Neodiprion lecontei: one gene and its partner. The protein of the gene in region 1 purifies or fractionates together with the protein of each later gene. This does not show direct contact. Links are inferred from orthologs where the notes say so. Each region holds a gene or a part of one and is shown on either strand. Other genes may lie near its edges.

Region 1 (4,517 bases):
ACGATCTGCAGGGGACCATAGGCATGTACACGGTTCATATAATTATATAACCATGCCGTCAAGTTTAATAAGACTTGCCAGTCTGAGGCTTGCCTCGACCCTACACTGCGGTTTTGTTTGGCGAATATGTCATCTATTCGATATAAACAACGAAGAACTCGTACCGCTGTGCGGCTTTCAGTTGGGACCGAATCACAAAGAATCGAAAAATTCATTCCAACAAAGTCCACCAATGACTTCCCTATTACAACACATACCTTATATTTAATTAAAATACTTTTAATTCGGTTTATAAAACTCTTATCTGTGTCACGCAGATTTGTGAATGATAGCTGTGCAACAGACCACTCGTCCGTATAGGCATGTATATGCCATACGTGTGCGTATTATATGGTATGTCACGGAACGCTATGGAGATGAACAGCGTCATTCACGCACGCACGCACACCTTCGCAGACTGCGCAGCCCCAGGGGCGACCAAACTGGCGACTTGCGACTTGCGATAACATTCTTTGGAATCACGGATTTGACATATTCACTTGCCGATTCGTGTACATCACAACTGTTAACAATGTTTTCATATAAACTCGTTAAGAAACATTGCCATACTACTGTCTTCTTTGACAAGGGATATGAAACGATTTTTTTATTTAGCAGTTATGATTACACTTGACGCGACAAGGAACAATAATGGACAACTGTGGTAGTAGTACGTACGTACGAGAAACATTGGCACTTTGATTCGAAGGTAAATATTTATATATTAATATACGGAGGATAAAGATAACTTACTGACAGTGACCGATGAAAATCCAGTTCATCAATTTCAGAAAACAAAAGGATCAGAATGGATCTGAATATACCCGAAATGATGAAAATCGCGCGACACTTGTGCATCCACGGATGCTACATTCTTACTCATATGCATACGTACATACATTGTATGTTATACACATGTATAACGTCACATAGCAGAAATATTGTATGTACATACGATCGATCGGCTTCGCAAAATTCTTTCTTACCTTAATTAATAGCGACTACCCGTCCGCGATGCGATTAACGTACAATGCAACTCCAGCGATTTTCCATGTTAGATTAAGCGCAATTGCAAATCGAAGCACGACACGAACACATTTCAGAAAATAAAAAATTCGAACTCAGACAATTCTCCGGATCCTTGCTAACGTGAATATTCCCGTAAGTACACCGACCGCCGTACCGTATGAAACGCAAATTACGCCCGACTCGGCACAACCAGCGACGTCTACTGGACAAAAAATTGCGTCAAATCCGCCCGGTGAACAATTGGTAAATAGAGGACTAGCGCCCTCTGACAGGGGATAGGCTTTTCGAGTTGGCGTTGATGACGTCGAAGGCACGTCGGTAACCGATCCGGACTTAACATCGCGGAAGTGGTATCCATCTCTTTCTTGCCTGCAGGAACATAGGAGCCTTGAAAGTCACATGGAGCTCTACGTTTGTTCCTTTTATCGGGCGTGCCATTGGCAGCACAGGAATTGTGATCTGGCTATGCTGCACATACCACTGTACCATACTAGCTAACGATCTGTTTGGCGATGGTAAACACAGTTCGACATGTCCTTACCACAGTCAATTAGTTTCAGAAAGCGATAGTCTTTTCATCTACATTTCTGTATGTATGTACAATACATACGTACATGCATACGTACAACGCGGATAGTGATCGCCAGATTGATTGAGTTGACTTGAGTATGTATTTTAAGCAAGGTCATAGTTTTAAGTAATGTAAATAGTTGAATTCTGACAAACACAAGAATTGCAAATCGTCCTCGTTATCGCCGTCGCAATACACTCCTCTTTGAAATAATCGTTGCGATTGATAAAATATCATTCTAGCATCATAGGTTCGTCTGGAAAAATAAACCTAACCCAAGTCCGATCCCCGATCCTAATCTGAACCTTTGAATTTTTCAATTATTTTTCGCTTCGTTTATTTGCAACTACAGCGTGAACCTACACGAAACACTCTAAATGTACCTAATGTTCTCTTCTTTCAAATTTTTCGGAAAAAATTAGAGTAACCACAACAAGTTTTCGAGACACGCCGATTTCCATGCGAACAGAATTTTTCGCGTACACAATCGCTGAAAGTGATAAACACCGGCAGCATAATTCGTACCTCTTGTGTGTGTGTGATTTTCGATTGTTACAGAATGCGATCTTTTATCAAAACTCTGGCTAGGATATAACAGAGCCTGCACATAATCTTACCCGTTGCACTCGATTTGAGGCTGCCTTGAATTATCGTTCGGACACTTCAAGTTTATGCAACCAATTCTGGACAATTAAACATTTAATGTGTCTGAAGTGTATCGTGAAAGTTCACTATGTAGTGCGAATTGACATTTCGATTAATTTTCATTGATTTTTTAACCATTTAATCGATATTTCATTCAAGAGGCGTTACGTTCTGAATTTTATTTTATATCAACTCTAACATTTGTTCTGACGAGCAAAACTTCCCTTCGTTAACAGACATGATGATGCGTATGTTGCAACCAGAAATGTGTTCTTTTCCCTATTGTTTATGGTGCCCTGTATCGTTTGCCCAATATTAGGCTCTCGGGCTATCTATGAACCATCATTATTGTAAATATCAAATGATTATTAGAATGTCAATCCCTTGTGCAGTTTTGTGTAACTGGAATATTAGTGGGACAGACTCGGTACTATCCTGCTTAGGCACATTTAGAATTGGGTCGTCCTGTTTCAGGTAGCGATGGGTTCGTTGGAACTGAAACAGAGTTTATCAGGTCATAAAGGAAGAGTGTGGAATGTATGTTGGCACCCAAAAGGCAATAGCTTAGCTTCTTGTGGCGAGGATAGGACAATAAGAATTTGGGCGAATGAGAGTTCAAAGTGGGTAGTCAAAACTATCTTGGCTGAAGGCCACCAGAGAACGGTTAGGGAAGTTTCATGGTCTCCGTGTGGAAATTATATCGCATCTGCCAGTTTTGACGCTACAACGGCTATTTGGGATAAAAAGGCTGGTCAATTCGAGTGCAACGTAACATTAGAAGGACACGAGCATGAAGTCAAGAGTGTCAGCTGGTCACGGAGCGGACAATTATTATCCACGTGTAGTCGAGATAAATCTGTATGGATTTGGGAAGCTGCCGATGATGAATACGAATGTGCTTCTGTAATATCATGCCATGCCCAAGATGTAAAAAAGGTGAATTCATATCGCATTGCTTGCTAATGGCGGTATTTCTTCTTAATTAATGGCAACTCTGATGATTGCAGGTAAAATGGCATCCGCACGAGGATACCCTGGCCTCAGCTAGCTATGACGATACTGTGAGAATTTTCAAGGAAGACGCGTACAGCGACTGGGTCTGCACGGCAACTCTGAATTCCCACACATCTACAGTTTGGAGCCTGTCTTTCGATAGCACAGGAAACCGTTTGGCAACCTGCAGCGATGACAAGACAGTGAAAATATGGCAGGAATACAAACCTGGTAATGAGGCTGGTATATCAACAGAAAACAACGAATCTGTTTGGAAGTGTTGCTGCACTTTGTCAGGCTACCATAGTCGGCCGATATACGATATTGACTGGTGCAAATTAACAGGGCTTATTGCCACAGCATGTGGCGACGATATCATCAGAATATTTCGCGAGGACACTGATTCAAATCCAAATCAACCCTCCTTTAGTATGGTTTGTACTACAGATGATGCACATACACAGGACGTCAACTCTGTACAATGGAATCCTGTTGTTCCTGGACAACTTGCATCGGCAAGCGACGACGGGCTTGTCAAAATTTGGCTGTACAGTGAATAAGAGGCTTACATCATTCAATCACTGATGTTGCAGCTCAAATGGGAGTCAAGCACAGCTGCTGTCTTCCCTGCTTCAGCACTCACTTATTAGTAATCGGTTTTTTCCAAATTAAATGTACACATATCCTGTTAACCCTAACAATAAATAATTTGTAAATATAAAACTACTACTGTTGTTGGCTTCATTTTTTTTCCCCACCCACAATATATGAAATGTAAACGCATGATAAAAATGTTGATACTGGAAATTTTCTTCATTCGTTCTACAAATCATGTTACGAATGACATTTCTGCATTTCTCTTTCATCAACGAAAATTACAAATCATTCGCTTCTTGAACACATATGCATTCTGTGTAATAATTAAACCTCTTCGTATATCTCTGTTGCAGATAAACAACTATAAATGCACATTCATTCAACGGTTGTATCGAGACTTCTATTCAGAACTCACGGTCTGTATAAGCTTCTCAAATACCATCACGTAACATCTAGAATGGGAGATCTGGACTCTACTAGGGAGGGACTAGCGCTAAGCCAAGTCTTGGATGCTATTCACTCGTTTGCCCCGATCGAGCTAGCGGCTTCCTGGGATAACGTTGGCCTGCTCATTGAACCAACAAAATCGAAGTTAATTACGCACACACTCATCACCAATGATCTTACCGAGGATGTAATGCAA
Region 2 (5,048 bases), about 4.1 Mb from region 1:
CGTTTATTTCTATATATGTATATATATACATATCTGTATAGAAATCTTACTCGATTGATGATGCATAAAACGGAAGTAACACAGAGCACCCAGTACGATTTATGATTTTAATAAATATTAGCTTGTATTGAGAATTGAATTTCATTTAAAATGGTTTGTTGAAGAATGCAAAGGGCTTTACTAGATTGAAATCTTTGTTTTCGTGAAATGTGGAATTGATTGGTATTCATTTCAGAAAATTTTGATTGAAAATTAAAATTAATGAATTGCAAAATATGTGGTTACATAAAACAAATGGTCCAATTCGAAAAAATGGAAAGCAATACCGTAAAGTAAGATGTAATAACATTTCAAATAACAGATTTCAAAGTATGAACTTATTTGGATATGGAAAAATAGAGAGAGAAAAATGGCATAATTCTTTCGAAGTTGCATCGACGTGATTACCTTATATTATGGATATATTCATTAATCAGAATTGTAATCAGGGATGTGAAACATAAAAGAGAATGATATTAACTTTTTTCCGAACTAATGCAACATACCTGTATATAACTGGAAGTTAATGTTAGTAACGTGATAATAACACTATGTAGAATAGATGAGAAACCGAAAAATATTAGTAATTTCGCATAATACACACAAACAGTACAATTTTAATTCTTAGATAGATTTTTTGAGTAACACTTAATAACACTCGAACTCAAAACTTGTTGTTCTGGCATGAAATATGTGTCGATTTACTTCAGTATTGTACCACATATTTATTTCATATGATTTTAATTTGTAAATATATTTCAAATGATAAAGATGTTTATAAATATTAATATATCGTAATTGCTAATACAAATCATCCAATTTTGTTCTTTACCTTATACCAATTTGGAGAATTACCTACTTAGTTATTAGTTGTGCCATTCTTGTGGAACATTTCACCACTTAATCGCAAGTGCCGTATTCATCTTCTCTATTTCATGATACTGCGTATGGAGGAAAGCAGCGGATTTGTCGGAGTGCTCGCCTTCAAGCCACGTAGTGTACAAACTTAATGTAACACAATTTTCTTCTGGTTTACTTAAAGGAAGACTGTGATAAACTGTTTCAAGTTTAGCGGCCAATTCACGTGGCTGTAAACCATCCTGAGGTCGTATTTGGGCTCCACCGTTGAGGCAGCCTATAAAGATGAGAAAAAAACCAAGTTTTAAGAAACGAATATTGAAATATGCTTTGTCGCTTGAATGAGACTTACCTGAAGGACAGGCCATAACTTCAACATAGTGATACGGAGACTTCCCTCTTTTAAGTTTCTGAACGAGGTTTTGAATGTTTTTAAAGCCATTGGCAATAGCGAACCTGAGTAAAATTTTTCCATCTTTTTCCAAAACTGCCTCCTTGAAATCTGGATTTCTTAGATTTTTAAATTCAACAGTAGTATTGGCTTCTTGGAAAAGATGATAAGCGGCGTACTGGAATATGAAATGAGCATAGCCACCTGATCCCGAGCCTTGATGTCCCCAAAGTATTTTGTCAGATTGTTCTTTGTTGTATGCACCAAAAGGTCGGTCTATTTCACCACTTTCAACATCGTTCAATGACACTCCCTGACTAATCAACATGTTTTCCAATTCAACTGAAAAAAAACAAAATTCATAATCACGAACAATGAAGATGAATAAATTCACAATAATGCATCTCGACACGTTTTACTAATATTGCATACTTGACGTAATCACGCAGTCGACGTCTCTGGTCTGCTTAAGTTCATTGTAAAAATCTTCTCGAGAGGCTTCCAATTTTTTATCATAACAGGGCATCACGCTGATGTGATATACTCGCTCAGGAGGTAGCCCTTTGTACTTGGTCAAATGGTATTTGACCAAAGAACCCATTACTTGTTGTGGCGATTTTGTCACACTTATATAGGGCAGTATGAAATTTCCGTGAGTCTTTTCCGCGTAACAAACCCAGCCTAATTGTACAAAGAAAGAAATTACCTGGATGGATTATAATAATACACAACTGTCGGAATTTTTAGTCACAGTATTCGGTAAAAAATAAGCTATACCTGGACAAGACGAAGCCAGCATCGGTATTTGACCTTTGACATTATCCTGAGAAGACTTATATCTTTCAATAAATTCTCTCGCTGATTCCAGCAGAGAAAAATCATCTGCTGCAGTCATGTCCAATATCATATCTGCTCCCAATTGACGAAAATGACCAGCTAATTTCCGGGTAGCGCTTTCTGGATCCAAACCATAGCGCTCGGCTAGCGACAAAACTGGCTGTACTGATAAACTCACTACGATGAATCTCGCCTCTTCTTGTTTTCCATTCTGTGAAACATCAAAACGTTGTCATTAATTTGAGAATAGATTGTGACCAACTTTTTATCGACTCTGCCTCCATTCGAGAAACAAGGAGTACGATGTAGATATAATGCATTACCTCTCGAAAGTTCTGATTTTCCTGTAAGACCCTCAGAAGTTCCTCTTGGCTCTGCTGAGTAACAAGAACGCTTTCGGCCGATGTTATACAGCCGCTGCAAGCTAAGCAGTCGGCTAAAGTGATCTCGACTTTCTGAAGTTTTTCCGAAGTACCAGACTGTGATAAAGAAATAAAAATAATTAATTGGGTGAAACATGCTCGGTTCAGTTTCGGAAGTGTGAAAAGGTATTAGTTCTGACTATATAAAAGGACAGCATTTATAATATTCATTATTAACAGACGAACCTCATTTAATTCTACATAAGCTCCGTCTTCCTGTATTTTTATTTTAGCCCCTGTCTTAGCCTTCGACTTTGGTATTTCAATTGGTTTTATACACTCCTGTAAAACAAATTCGAATTTAGCGCCTATTCTTATACGCTCGAGAAACTGGACATGCAAATACAAAAGTTTAGGTGATATTCTACGGGAATAACATATTTTTAAACTTACCAGTGACGGAGTTATGAAATCGTCTAAATCCGTCAATTGCAGAGCACCACTAAATCGTGATGCCATGTTTTAAAACTTTATATTGAAATCAGTCGGAATATCAGGTGTATACTTCGCAATACATCAATGACTATCACTTGCGCACACGACAAACTGCGTGATTTTCCCAGTGTACTAGCGTCAAGCTAATGTTACTTATACAATACAGTAATAGCTCGGTAATCGCGGGTGGCGCCACTTTACACTTTTAGAAGCAACAATGACCAACAGTGGGAAAGAGCGTTTTCGAATCCATCTGGTGGCAAATAATACACATTGCAACTCTGAATACAATTCATCTGGATTCGCATTGATTTGAGTTTTGTAAAAGAAATTTGTCATTATATTTTGAAATCTACACAGACGGTAAAACTCTTGCAATAAAATAAACTGCAACTGTAGTCAATAACAGCTTAGACGCAACACAATTGCTTGGCTCTTTTTGACCATGAATTACGAGCACTATTAATTGTATTTTGCTTACGAGATAAAATTAAGGAATTTGATTGTTTTAAATTATAGATATATTACGAGTTCTCGAGCGTTGACATTCCATATACCTGTATATGAACAACAATCGAAACGGACAATATTAAAACACAGCGTGCGATGTCGCGATTGCGCCGGCGCCTATTCTTTCACCATTCACGATGACGAAATCGAGTGCATAGATACGTGGGGGGTGATTCTTCCTCCCTGTTGCCTTGGGAAGTAAATATTTTGCCTCCTCCCTTTCTGCCAAATGCCCAACGCCCCGTTTCCTACTTGACATCTGATTTCACGACTCCGCATGAGTCACGAGCGCAATAATTTTGCCCCAATTTCGCCTGCTTCACGGCAATTTTCTCTGCATCAGTGTAACACAGGTGTTTCGTCGTGTGTTGCCGCACATACAATTAATAGTGTAATGCAATTATAACTACGATTGAGATTGAATTATAAAAATAAACAACAGAACGATGACGGAAGTCAAGAAGGACGATGTCGTCAAAATACTTCATACGTATCCCTTGTGTCGCGTGAGTTTCAATCCCCATTCAATTACAAATATCTAAACGTAATTATAATGTACATTAAATTTTTCTCGAAAATAAAAATAAACAAATTCGAATCATGTATTCGAGCAATTGATTTCTTCTCTAATTTTGATGCAATATCTTTGCATCTTTTTGTGTAATTAGAAATTAAGATTAACAAATGAACTTAGAATCAAGTGTATAATATTGAATTCAAATTTAATTTTCACAGTCGTTCAATAAATAAACATTTTCAGTGGAAATTGAAGTTAATGGGGCATTCTTGTATTTTTATTTTTGTTGTTTATTGTTTGTTCCAACAGAAATGTGACATGAGCGACGAGATGAAACAGGAAGCGATGGAGTTATGCGTAACGGCAGCCGAGAAGTACGCGGATAATTACGAGAGTGCTTCGAAAATGATTAAGGAAACGATGGACAAAAAATTTGGAGCATCCTGGCACACGGTAGTGGGTGAAGGATACGGATTCGAGATTACCTATCAGCTAAAACACCTTCTGTACATGTATTGCGCAGGAAATTTAGCTATTTGTATATGGAAATCCGCGTAGCCATAACATTAAAGTCTATTTTGATAACGGTATACTAATGCTATCAGCTAGACAAAAAAGCTACTTCACTATCCTAATCACAAGCAATTGATAAAAAATGTTTCTAAATGTGCTAACTCTGTGAGATGAGTATTGGCAATATATTTAAAGATGTATTGACGTTGTCATTCGTGTAAATGGTTTCACTATAGATTATAAATATTCTCGTTCCTATTTTTTCAACAGATTAATACCGATCTTAATTGGTTTTCATATAGGTACTTTATATGTTGCAATATCGTGGTTTGGAAAATTTTTACGATCGATAATCTTTACTATAAAAATTGACGATAAATCGATGTTCGAATGACTGATTAATAATAGTATAAGTACAAACAGACTCTATGGAATTTGATTCTGAATCTTTGATTTAAATTTCTGTGAGTATGTAAATACACATGTGAGGAATATGATAAAGTTCGAGAAACATCAGATCTAGTCA

Evidence for each region. Proteins that work in one complex are often made in the same cells at the same time.
Region 2: the proteins of probable cytosolic iron-sulfur protein assembly protein Ciao1 (region 1) and probable cytosolic Fe-S cluster assembly factor CPIJ010948 purify together in Homo sapiens (affinity purification with western blotting; 3 studies listed by BioGRID and IntAct, with this or other methods). This does not show direct contact. The link is inferred for Neodiprion lecontei from reciprocal best matches to the Homo sapiens genes CIAO1 and CIAO3.

Annotation. Positions count from the first base shown.
Region 1 is NC_060264.1:55,545-60,061, forward strand, and holds probable cytosolic iron-sulfur protein assembly protein Ciao1, read left to right. Parts: upstream 1-1,589; 5' UTR 1,590-1,734; intron 1,735-1,741; exon of another isoform or gene 1,742-1,889; intron 1,890-2,758; 5' UTR 2,759-2,764; coding exon 2,765-3,220; intron 3,221-3,291; coding exon 3,292-3,837; 3' UTR 3,838-4,000; downstream 4,001-4,517. UniProt on the Homo sapiens protein: Key component of the cytosolic iron-sulfur protein assembly (CIA) complex, a multiprotein complex that mediates the incorporation of iron-sulfur cluster into extramitochondrial Fe/S proteins.
Region 2 is NC_060264.1:4,193,931-4,198,978, reverse strand, and holds probable cytosolic Fe-S cluster assembly factor CPIJ010948, read right to left. Parts: upstream 3,138-5,048; 5' UTR 3,007-3,137; coding exon 2,941-3,006; intron 2,830-2,940; coding exon 2,734-2,829; intron 2,605-2,733; coding exon 2,449-2,604; intron 2,337-2,448; coding exon 2,066-2,336; intron 1,970-2,065; coding exon 1,721-1,969; intron 1,631-1,720; coding exon 1,250-1,630; intron 1,175-1,249; coding exon 933-1,174; 3' UTR 536-932; downstream 1-535. Other genes in the region: dynein axonemal light chain 4, read left to right, coding at 3,939-3,998, 4,319-4,567.